Linked DNA regions of Xenopus tropicalis. The protein of the gene in region 2 interacts with the protein of the main gene of each other region in a pairwise test. Links are inferred from orthologs where the notes say so. Each region holds a gene or a part of one and is shown on either strand. Other genes may lie near its edges. The genes, in order: aen and aamp.

Region 1 (7,158 bases), on a different chromosome or scaffold from region 2:
AAAAAGCACAGAGCTTTACAATAGAAGGGTGTAAACATCAACTATACATACAAATACTGACAGAAAGCTAAGGTAAAAAGTATCCTGCTCATTAGAGTTCACAGTCTAAAAGACATGCGCCTATGGCAGGCGCCATCTGGTCCCGCTTGATGCTCCCTTTACAACAACTTTGGGTGCGTGTGGTTGAAGTCAGGTATAGACCGCCTTTAACTATGCATGCTTATTAAGTGACATCCCTTTAATCAGTAAAAGGTAAATTTTATCCCCAGAATGAATACTTAACCAACAGATTATATCATGTTAAGTCCCCTATTAAACTATATATATATATATATATATATATATACACAGTATATAAGTAATTAATAGTAGTAATAATTATTGACCTTTTACATCCTTTCCTTTGATCCACCATTTAGTGATGGGCTGTGTGCTATCCCCGAAAAATCCTATGGCCAGAAATAATGCAGCTCTAACTGTAAAAGGAAGAAGTGTGGGAGTTGGTTTGTTTCATGCTCCAGGGGGGCAGTGCTTAAAGGAGAAGGAAAGGTATTGTGGCATTTTATTGTCAACAGATTAGTGCAAGCTAGAACGCCATTGAAAATCCCTCTTTGTTTAAGATAGCAGCTGCCATTTTAGCTTGGTCTCAATAGCTTCCATGCTGCTGGTAGCTCAGATTACAGCAGAAAGGGGAGGGGGAAAAGACCAGAAGGGAGTGGGAGAGAGCAGCAAACCGAGCAGACTCATATTGTGCCCTGAAGGATTTTTCTGAGAGCAGGAAGTCTGACACAGATCATGTACAGTATGTATACAGAATGAAAGGAAAGAAATGTGGTGGAGGTCTTGTTTCTTTTCACTAAGGTCAGAGCAGCGTTTCTGTGAGTGTTTATGGCTGTATTTACATAGACCTTTCTGATAAGGCTTACTTAGTTTTTACCTTTACTTCTCCTTTAATTCTTAAAATGGCAATTTTCTGTTTAGAATTACCCAATGGCACATACTACTAAAAAAAGAACATTTTTATAAAAATTGTTAAATGTGAATCCCTGCTTCATCTAAACAGAGCTAATTTAAGCAATATATTTTTATAGAGACCTATATTGTTTGGGGGGGTATAGTTTTGCTTTAAGCAGAGCAAGATAGAGTCTCCCAAACCTGCTGTGCTACCAAGTACAGCAAATGAAACTATTGGGGGTCTGCAGTGCTGCAGTTTGGTAGGGAGGCCTCCAGAGGGGGCCCAGGCTTTTAAAAAGGTTTTAGTTATGCTTGACGTAGTTTGTGGTATTTGCTAGCTTTCCACATAGCTCAGAGTGTTTTGGTCTATTCTTCCAGGAAGGTTTGCTCACTGCTGTTCGGGGAAGTCAGATGACAGTTGTGCACCAGTATGGGATCCCTTATAAAGAAACCAATTATCTAGAAATCTCAGAATTAGGAAAAGGCCATCTCCCATACTGTCTATTTTAGCATTTTTTTTTTTTTTAAATGTAACTGTCAAATATAACTGTCCCACTAATTATGAACTGAAACCCGTTCTCCTGCAGTATTTCTCTGTTTGTACAAAAATCCATTCACTGTTGATAAAATATAGCCTCAGTTAGGGATGCACCAAATCTAGGGTTCAGTTTGGGATTTGGCCTTTCTCACACAATTCAGATTTGCCCGAATCTAATTGCCTAGCTTGACCAAATCCTTAAATTCATGTCACTTTTCATCACTTGAATGTAAAAGTTGGATTTTTTTTTCTTCTGTGCCCTAATTTTCATTTGCATATGCAAATTAGGGTTTGCCCAAATCTCAAAATAGTGGATTAGGTGCATTCCCACCCACAGTATTATTTTTCCATTACCATACTTCACTGTAGGTATACATCAACCGTACTGCGAGATCTGGGAAATATTGGACTGAACAGAAGAGTGGCATAAGAGAAGCCAATACTTAGAAAGAACCACATGAAAAGCACTACTGCCAAATAAAAGAATGAGTGACCCAGTTGCAACGTAGGGAAAAAAGTTAATTTATAATAATTTGAGACAGAGACAAAACAAAGCTCCAAGTAGGATGTACTAAAGTTTTGGGGATAAGTAGACTGTGCCCTTTCCTTTTTCGGTGGGTGATCTGAGTACATACTTAATGCTACTGGTTAGGTATACTGTAATATTTTAACTGTGTATAGATTATTTATCCAGTTAGGTTTAGCTATGAATTAAGCCAATTAGCCAATGTTGTATTATTCTAGTTACTCTCAATGCCTGTTACTACATGCTCACAGAGTTAACAATTATTTTTACGGGTTTGTAATAATTTCTTCTACACACCGTATTACTATAGTTTGGTATGCCGCCATGTTTGTGAAACATCATCTTTCCGAGATGTATTCAGTTACAGTTTCACAAGTGTGCTGCATTTCATAAGCAAGGAGTGGGCATCTTATTTATATTGGGGAGAAAACACTGGTTTATGTTTCTAAAAACAGTATGAACTTTTTACTACAAACTGCTCATATACATCGCTAAGGAGTTAAATGACAAAAGCTACAGTATGTCTTGGGAAAGGATGCAAAGGGAGAATTCCAGAATATACACCATAATGCCTTGTTTGTGTAGCTGTTTAAGATACCGAAAATATTCTACTGATTAGGACTGTTAGGACTTTTTATATTTTTCAATGTGAGCCTGGATATTTCACAATGAAAATACAATTAACCCTATTACAAAAATATATATCCATCGAGTTTAAAACTCACTAAACAGTTGCAATCTAGAATTAAACACTTTACAAATTAATTTCACAAGACAAACGATGTGGTCTTATAACATTAGGTTTTAGTAAACTTACCACAGGTATTTATCGGTTTGATTGAGCTTTAAAACAAGAGACATTGCTCAGATCATGTACTATAATGGTATGTAAAGTCTGTACATCATAAAGGGAAAGGTGCATCTATATAAAGGTTTATATATATTGCAAGTTTTGCAGGAAAAAAGTGATCCAGCAGGTTCAAGTTTTAAAATGCTTGAAAGTTAATATAACTAGAATGCAGGTCAGCTGAATGCAAACCGTAATTTTATTTGACAGTACAGAAATGGGACCTATTATCCGTAAGAGGTTTTCAAGATAAGTGATCCCTTCTGTAACAGAGCATGCCTTAATGCACTGCTAAATTATTCTGCCTTATTTAACATTAAACTGTACAACTTTAATGAGAAATGGCATTGCTGGAATCGGGATATCGGGTTTCCAGAAAATAGATCCCATCTCTGTACTGTATCTCAGATCCACAATAAATAGGTTTATTGCACATTGGTAAAACAGTTTATTCATCTTGAAGTGGTGCTTCATTTAGAGTCATCATTTAAGTCTGCTGGCCAGTAGCGATCGTCCATGTAATGGTCATTATCAGAGACCCCGCTTGTTTCTGCACTAGTGGAAGTCTCGAGTTGGAAGTGACTGCAAAGCTCCTCCTCCCATTGATCCTCAACCAATTTGTACAACTCCAAGGAGGCCAGGGCATCTTCTACAGAAGAATGGCCATTTCTGCCAACCTGAGGCAGGGACAAGACAAATACCAACAGTTCAATTCAATGCAAGCTTAAAATGAAGATGTTGCTGGCTTAAGACATGCATAAATGCCTACTATTGCTTTAAAACCACCCAGCAAGATGCTAGAAGGCAGACTGGTCAACTAAATAGGGGTCTAAATGAAAGCATAACTACACTGAATTTTTTTACAGCTGTGCAGAGAAAACATATAAATGTCTTATAGTGCCCCTGAAATTTGCAGTTACTGGGAGAAAGTGGTATATTTCTTGAAAGTTTCCTGTAACTCCTTCCACTTGCAGCCGCACTTAATAGGAAACTGCCTCCTTAACATAGTTGTAGCTACCCAGCAGTGTAAATACTCAGTTGTGGTTTTTACCTGTATTCTTTTGCCCAACAAGTTCAATGCAAGAGTTTTTAAAGAGACGCCAGCTTTTTCTGGAAGTCCTGCGTTTTTTTTTAATAAAGAGATTTTACTGGTGTCTCGAATCTGGGAGTGAGGATGGAAGTATTTCAGAGCCCTGAAGTCGTTGTGCAGTGCATGTCCAACCACTCGTTTGTCCTTAAGTATCTTCAGAATCTACAATTGCAAGTTAGAGATTACCACAAATTGCATATAACATGATAAGGTAGAAAAGCCTTTTTGCCTTTCAAACAATTTGAGCTTGGAAGCAGCTCACTAAATGTGGCGCTGAAATGCTGATAATGCCACAAAAAATGCTGGGATTATTAATATCGAAGCCAAATTGCATTAGTATAACCCATTAGCTGGCACATGAATGGTCTATGATACAAGGCCGACTTAACACAATTTCTGCCTTACAGGAAAAGGAGTCTATGATGTATGTATGTATTTTAGATACAATGGAAGTAAGAAAATGAAGGACAAACAGATGCAACATCAAGAAGTTATAAAAAATGTATATAGCTTATATTTATTTTTAAAATATTCTCCCCATTGATTTAGGGCATAAAGGGGCCCATTTACTAAGGTTTTCTGAGAAAAGTTCAAATTTTTTTGTTTATCTTTCTTTTGAGATTTACGTATGTTTTTTGGCAGTATACGTTTAATTTTTTTCTTGAAAAAAAATTAGAAAATTCGGGGTATTTGCTAGAAAAATCTGAGACATGAACAAACTTTCAAGATTTATAAAATTTATGCGACTTCTTTTAGACTGACAAAAAGTATGCCAGGTTTAAGCTGCCGAGAACCATTGAGTCCTATGGAGGACACCAGTGCTCCTTAAATGGCAGCTGGAGCACTTCCTGTTCATGGACATGAATGGTCAATTAAATTTCATTAATTTCTCGGCCATTCTATAACATCCTAAAAATAAATCACCCCTTTAAATAAATTAACTACAATAAAAGTGTAATGTTAAATACAGAGGTCATAAGACTGCTTATGCAGGATAAGGGCCATAATATTGTGGAGGAGTCCCCATTTGGCCTGCAAGCTTGTAGTTGGACAGCTGTTGTCCACAAAACAAGGGTACCATAAAAATACTGGTAATAAGTGCCTATTTGGACATGATGGACCACCTGTGCAACATAGTACTAAGGCCCATAGTGCAGGGGTGGTTTAGATCTCCACAGTTATTTACTGCAATCATTATTGCTAAAAGCAGTTTTCCATTTATGTTAAACCTATTGTCTATGCCAGATGCTGCTGCTGCTACAGATACGTGGGGACTGTTGGGGAACACACATGCAGGCACTTGCCTACTGGGTAGTGGTATCTATTTTGGGTAAAATGGAAGGTGGGTTCTAACAGGGTATATTGCACTTCAGCTGTGAAACATAATCCCTAAGAGAAACTTGTGTACTATTTATAGTATTTTACATTCCTTTAAAGTGCAATGATATATCATCTTGCAAGAATAGGCCGATGCCAGCACTTAGGATTCCCTCAACAGATTTACATTCACAAATAAAAATGGGGCTCCCTATTGCTTCTTAACAGATTCATAATCTCTATACAACAGTGTCAACAGTAAAACTTCCAATGGTCATATAAATAGTGCTTCTTGTGGTTGTAATCTATGGTGAATGCCTCACATCTGACTCAAAGAACATGCCAACAATAAGTTATTTGTTTAAATGCAAATACTGAAGGGAGATGGCAATCTGTGTATGCCCCTTATGGTGATAAATCCCAATATAGATAGAGAGTGTGTGGAGATATATATATATATATATATATATATATATAGAAAATAATCATCTGTGGCCAGCACACCCTTCAATGTTTCATCAAAATTTTTTTTATTGTAGATATATTGTTAAAACCAACGTTTCGGTCCTTGTTAGGACCTTTCTCAAGGATAAAAGGATTTTATCCTTGAGAAAGGTCCTAACAAGGACTGAAACGTTGGTTTTAACAATATATCTACAATAAAAATTTTTTTGATGAAACATTGAAGGGTGTGCTGGCCACAGATGATTATTTTCTATGCATACATAATTTTGGCTAAGCACCCCGCAGAATATTGAGCCTTGGAGTGCGGACACCATTTGGATTGATATATATTATATGTATATATATATATTTTTTTTTTTTTTTTTTTTAAATTATGACTCTTTCACTGTAAATAAATTGCAACTAACAGGGACAATAATTTTACAAATAAACGGTCTATTGCCCATTAAACTTGGCATCTACACATCACAACCAGGATACAGCGACGTGCTAAGTTACCTCTTTCTGGGCAGTTTTAAAGAAAATTGCATTTTTCAAGCTGTGTTTAGTGATCCCACTCCATCGCGTCCTGTAGTCTGCGATTGGTAGCTCAGGTTTAATGTACTTGTCATATACAACATCTCCTCTGTAATTCACTATGCTGCACCGAGCCAGCTCACTGATCTTTCCCCCAGGTCCAGTTCCAACCATTTCACAGTCGATAGCAACACACTTCCCAGGCTTTAACCAAGAAAGGGGGGAGGATGCTCTGCTGGAGCTGGAGCTGCCTGCCACAGAGAGGCCACTATCATCATAATCGAATGTGGATGGTTTATTTGCAGTAATGGAAGAGCCAGGCGCCACTGGCAATGTGCCCAGCAGAGTTTTTATCTGGCTACCCATTTCCATGTCCGCAATCTGTTCACAGAAACATTGGTCATTTCCATTGACTGAACATTTGGTTTTTCCTTTTAGCACCTCTTGAGTTCCTGTTTCAGGGATATTTAGGAGTCTCCTCTGTTGCAGGAAAGCTTTGCGCTTTAAGAAGCGTTGATGCCTTCGTGTCTTCCTTCGATTTTGGACTCTTCTCTGACACTTTGTATAGATCTCTGCGTTACTGGAGTTGAGAAATTCACTAGATCCACTGGAGCTACAGGACAAATTGCTAGCTGCTTCCATCTCCAGGGAAACCATATTTGAGTTGGTTGGTTCAAGGCTTCTGTGACTGCAAAAGCCTAAGAGAATGAATCACAACCCAATGACAAGCCTGAATACATCCAATGCAAAAAAAAAAAAAGTGCCAAGTGCTATCAAATTTATTACATGAAGTGGGCCAAATATTTCTTGTATAGCATGTTGGAGAACTGGATTATATTAAAATGTTTGTCATACAGTGAAGTCTGTGGCAGATGGAGGGCCATAAAAATACTTTGAAGGGCCAC
Region 2 (5,708 bases):
ATCCTATCTGATCCCCCCCATTGTAAGCAGCAGTCCTGCCCTGCTTTATGGCTGAGATTCTAGCTATCTGTATAACAGAGCATTCTGTCACAGTGGCACAGATCCTATCTGATCCCCCCATTGTAAGCAGCAGTCCTGCCCTGCTTTATGGCTGAGATTCTAGCTATCTGTATAACAGAGCATTCTGTCACAGTGGCACAGATCCTATCTGATCCCCCCCCATTGTAAGCAGCAGTCCTGCCCTGCTTTATGGCTGAGATTCTAGCTATCTGTATAACAGAGCATTCTGTCACAGTGGCACAGATCCTATCTGATCCCCCCCATTGTAAGCAGCAGTTCTCACTTATCTACTCACTTGTTCAGAGCAAAGTCGAGAATTTCAGCAGTGTGCCCACAGTATTCGCTAATCATTTTGCCAGAACGGGAGTCCCATAATCTGACGGCTCCATCCAAGCTACAGGTGTACACCACAGGCGAGTTCTGCTCCCATAGGAGTTGTACAATTCCTGACTGTATAGACAAAAGAGATATGTAAAATACTGTACAGTCTAACACTATGGCACCTCCTACCCATATGTATAAATACAAATATACAGAGAAGGAATGTTCTGGGCACACAATAAGCTGTATCCCCATACTGTACTGTCTAAGGGAAACACTATGGCACCCCCTACCCATATGTATAAATACAAATATACAGAGAAGGAATGTTCTGGGCACACAATAAGCTGTACCCCCATACTGTACTGTCTAAGGGAAACACTATGGCACCCCCTACCCATATGTATAAATACAAATATACAGAGAAGGAATGTTCTGGGCACACAATAAGCTGTACCCCCATACTGTACTGTCTAAGGGAAACACTATGGCACCTCCTACCCATATGTATAAATACAAATATACACAGAAAGAATGGTCTGGGCAACAATGAGTGATATCCTACCCTATATAGCGACTATGGAGTAGAAAGTGACATTGTAATAGACCTGGTACTTACCTCATGCTGGCACCGGTGTCTCAGACTTTGAGAGGAGAGGTCATATACAGCCAAGGTGCCATCTAGATAACCAACAGCAGCCAGGGGAAGGCTATACACAAGGAAACAAGGAATAGGGAAAGACATGAATCATACAGTAAGGAAAAGCAAGCACAGAAATTATAGCCCCATCCCCACTATGGAAAGTGCTTCCATAGTGATTCACTGAGTCAAATGAATGAAACAAGTGCCCCCTCTAGTGGTGAAACCCCCTCTATGTGATAACAAAACTAGACTTGTGCAGTATCCTCATATTACTGGCATTTTGTATATTGTTGGCAGTAAAAATTAGCTTTCCCTCTGAACTTAAAGGGGAACTAAACATTCTGCATGGGTTATCAATTCAACTCTTAAAGTTCCTTTGCCCTGTAACCCCACCACCTACACATTGCAGAAGCCTAAAGACTCCACTGAGTTGGACTCCGCCTCCCCATCTTCTCGTCTTGAGGCCTTGGACACGTTGCTTTCCGTCTTGAAAACCCCAACAACCTGTAGAGAAAAATTTGATAGCGGCTGAGAAGCTGCCAACCCGGTCTAGAAGGGCTGAGTCTATGGCTAATATTTGCCCATGTATAGCTTTACACTGAGGCACTGGAATCCTGGTCAGGCATCCAAGAAGCAGAATAAGCAACTGCTCAGAATACAATACTATATTGCATTTTGAACAATGGGCAGATGGACAAACCTAAGCGGCTGTCCCTGCTAATACTACCCCTGAGCCCTCTTTTCTAATGGCTTTACCAATACCACATAAAAAAATTGGCAATTCAGCCCAAAACAATGGAGTTTTAGGCAAGACTGATAATGCAAGTAGAGCCCCCTCAAGCACAAGGGCCCCTAAGCGCTAGAGGGCATAGTGAGAAGCATTGGGGAGGTTCCACTCACCTTGCCAGTTGCTGTGTTCACCAACTTTGTGTCACAGTCCACCGAACCCGTAAGTACGAGGCTGCCATCGTTATTAGAGGCGACACACGTGAGAGGCCCGGCGTGTCCATCTGTGCCTGCAATATAGAAATATTCAGTTTTATACAATAAAATCCACCAGGAAATGGCACATTGCTACTTCTCTTAGTGCCCAACCCTGGATCTATGACATCATAACTCATTGACGACTGCTGATGTCATGATGCAACGCTAACCCAAGACTCCAAAGTTTAAAGGGGCAGCATCAACAGAATGTTAACGCAAGGGACACTATGCTATTTACCTTTGAGGACATGAAGAGCATTTCCTTGTTTCAGGTCCCATATCCGCACACTTCCGTCTTCATAGCCCACCACGGCTTTCCTTCCTACACAAATACCAACACTGTCATTTTCCAGGACTGCTACATAAATGTGGCCTTATGGGTAGAACTCAATGGAGATAAGCAAACAAAATCTCTTCCATTTGGAAAGGAACAACAGATACCTATCTATTGTTCCTCTGCAAATGAATTTATTATGGCTCTTACCATCGGGCAGGAACTGGCCACAGGTAGCCGGGCAGCTGGGGCCCTGGAAAGTCTTACACTCGCCACTGGGTATTTTCCACATCCAGGTGTTTCCATCAGCTGTGCCAGCCAGCAATACGTGGGCACAGGGGTGCCATTCCAGCCACTAGCAGGGAGAAAAGGGCAAGTTATTGCCATAGGCCCAATGAGGGGGCAATAATTTGAAGACTCACTGAAACAGCTGATGTGTAATTCAGGTTAAATGAATGATGAAATCAGCTTTGCTATTGGTGGGAAAGCCAAGTTACACCCCCAGCATATCCAATCCAAATCCCAATGCAGACGCAAGGCAAGATATAAGGACCCATTCCATTTCCTTACCTCTAGATCTCCCACCTCGAAAGACCAGATCTCCTCTGCCCCCTCCACCTTCCACACCTTGATCAGGCCACTCATGTCTCCAGTGGCCACCATAGTGGAGTCGTGGCTAAAAACAGCACAAGTAACAGAATCCTTGTGACCTGAGGAAAATAAAAAGGGAAACTTTGAATGGTGATTTTTACAACCATTTGTTTTTATTGCCTGAACTGCAGTTATATGTCCGCAGGCTGGAGCTATATACCAAAAGGTATCCTAAGATGCACATGTAAAGTAGGCCATGAAGGGGTTAAAGAGAACCACATGTAAAGTGCGTGGTGAAAATATTTCAACTTCCGTGTTCATGTGATGAAAAGTCACGTGATTTATGTATGAATATCACTGCACTGGTCAGGAAAGGGTAACTGAGACACTTACCAACACTGTGGGAAGTCCTATTTAACTCATGCCACTTGCCCTTTATAGATCAATCACTCCTATAGCTCTAAACAGGTGGTTCCCCTTTAAGTTAACTCTTAGTTTGTTATAGAATGTTAGCAATTTTTCAATTGGTCTTCATTTCTTATCTTTTATTGTTTCTGAATTATTTGCCTTTCTCTTCTGCCTCTTTCTGTGATACTACACTTTTTATTACTTATCTTTCTATGCAGGCCCCTCTCCTTTTCATTCCAGTTTCTCATGCAAACCACTGCCTGGTTGCTAGGGTAATTTGGAGCCTAACAACCACATAGATTCTAAAATTCCAAACTGAAGAGTTGCTGAATATAAAGCTAAATAATTTAAAAAAAACACAACATTAGAAAAACTAATTGCAAGTAGTTTCAGAATGTCACTTAATTAATTATTGTCAGTTAATTTAAAGGCAAACAACCCCTTTAAGATACCAAGTATGTTTCCACAGTCCAACCCTGGCTGCTGTGTCATGAAGAAACCCCTGCAGGCAAGCAGATGAGACTGCACAGTTGCCCCTTGGGGGGTGGGAGTTAAATAAAAAAGCAGACAAATGCATTGCAGTCAGCAGCATGACATTTACCTGTGCACTCAAACACAGTCTCTCCGTCACTCAGGCGCCATATGTACGCCTTGTCGTCCTCTCCCCCTGTCACTGCCAGAGCGCTCTCTTTGGGGTCCAGGCTGACGCAGAACACAGAGGCTGAAACAAATGGAACCAAGTGGATCAGCAATCAATGCTCCTGACTGTGTGATGTGATCCAAGTCATACTACAAGCACAGACTTGGCTTATCTTTATACACCATTGGCACCCCCTTGTGTTGGCTTATAATGCACTCTATTTGCCCCTTGAGAGGACACTGCCAGGTCTCACCTGTATGTTTGGAGAATGTCAGCTCACTGTCGTCATGGGGGTCCGTTCCTTCTTCCACTCCCTCATCCTCTGTCTCCCATTCCTCATTATCAGCCATTTCCCCATCTTCAGGATCATCTGCAAAGTCGACGTCCTCCATGTCGCTGGCCAAATCATCTGGGCAAGACAGACAGTCAGCAGGGCATTAACCTCTCCATAACAACATATACATTTCTACAAGAAGGGTCAGGCATGTACCCTGCATATAGAATTATAATCTTTCCTGTTTCAGAACAATAATGCCCCATGTACAATGCCAGGTCCATATAGAATGGGTTTGCGGACAAGTGGAGGACACAGACTGCACAGAGCTCTGACCTCAACCAATTGATTTGGAACCCAAACTGTGAGCCCGGCCTGATCCCCAACATTACTGCCCAACCTCACTAACGCTCTTATGGCTGAATGGGAGCAACTCCCAGCAACACTGTTCCACCATCTAGTGGGAACCTTCCCAGAAGGGCAGGGGCAGTTATAGCAGCAATGGGAGGGGCAACCCAACTGAACCCCTGTGGGATGAATTGGAACCCCAACTGTGAGCCTGATCCCCAACATCACTGCCCAACCTCACTAATGGGAGCAACTCCCAGCAACACTGTTCCAACATCTAGTGGGAACCTTTCCAGAAGGGCAGGGGCAGTTATAGCAGCAAGGGGAGGGGCAACCCAACTGAACCCCTGTGGAATGGAACCCCGACTGTGAGCCTGATCCCCAACATCAGTGCCCAACCTCACTAATGCTCTTGTGGCTGAATGGGAGCAACTCCCAGCAACACTGTTCCAACATCTAGTGGGAACCTTCCCAGAAGGGTAGGGGCAGTTATAGCAGCAAAGGGGCAACTTCATATTAATGCTCTTGGTTTAGGAATTTAATGTGGGACAAGCAGGTGTAGATACGTTTGCCCATGTAGTGTCACAGCTGGGTTGTCAGAACCAGACACACCAGGAGCTGGCTTGGGGGTTCTTATAACGCCCAGTCTATTTGTAAAAATAGTTTAATAGTTACCACTTTATTCCCCTCTCCCAATCTAAGAGCATGGTATGGTCCACACAGAAAGGAAACCAAAGACCCTTGTTGCTTGCATTAATAGTGTGCAATACATTGTGTGTCTTCATATTAAGGAGACAGCGAATCCAGGATTTGGTTCAGGTTTTGGCAAAGATTCTGCCTTTTTCAGCAGGATTCTGATTTGGCCGAATGCAGGTGTCTGGCCAAACCCAAATCCTTGCAGCTTAGGATTCGGTACGATATTTGGACAAATCTTTCAAAAAGGATTCAGCCAAACCCAAAAATAATGGATTTGGTGCATCTACTACTTTATATAAAAGTCACAAGGTACAGGGTTCACCCAAAATTGTGCGCCTATGCCAAACATAATGGGCACGGCTGGAACTCTGCGCAGTATCTGGATACGTAGGGGGGGTTTCAAGGAATACGAATCAATCAGAGATACCTGGATCTGGTTCTACGTCGTTCAGCTCCAGCACCTCAATGA

The links.
Region 1: the proteins of aamp (region 2) and aen interact in binary tests that used the Homo sapiens proteins (3 or more experiments, as listed by UniProt). The link is inferred for Xenopus tropicalis from reciprocal best matches to the Homo sapiens genes AAMP and AEN.

Annotation. Positions count from the first base shown.
Region 1 is NC_030679.2:110,016,084-110,023,241, forward strand, and holds the end of aen (apoptosis-enhancing nuclease), read right to left. Parts: intron 6,952-7,158; exon of another isoform or gene 6,942-6,951; 5' UTR 6,911-6,941; coding exon 6,236-6,910; intron 4,118-6,235; coding exon 3,917-4,117; intron 3,543-3,916; coding exon 3,336-3,542; 3' UTR 1,999-3,335; downstream 1-1,998. UniProt on the Homo sapiens protein: Exonuclease with activity against single- and double-stranded DNA and RNA. Mediates p53-induced apoptosis.
Region 2 is NC_030685.2:85,165,267-85,170,974, reverse strand, and holds part of aamp (angio-associated migratory cell protein), read right to left. Parts: coding exon 5,667-5,708; intron 4,331-5,666; coding exon 4,175-4,330; intron 4,003-4,174; coding exon 3,883-4,002; intron 2,993-3,882; coding exon 2,853-2,992; intron 2,638-2,852; coding exon 2,493-2,637; intron 2,331-2,492; coding exon 2,247-2,330; intron 2,041-2,246; coding exon 1,925-2,040; intron 1,529-1,924; coding exon 1,425-1,528; intron 1,092-1,424; coding exon 1,001-1,091; intron 511-1,000; coding exon 356-510; intron 1-355. UniProt on the Homo sapiens protein: Plays a role in angiogenesis and cell migration. In smooth muscle cell migration, may act through the RhoA pathway.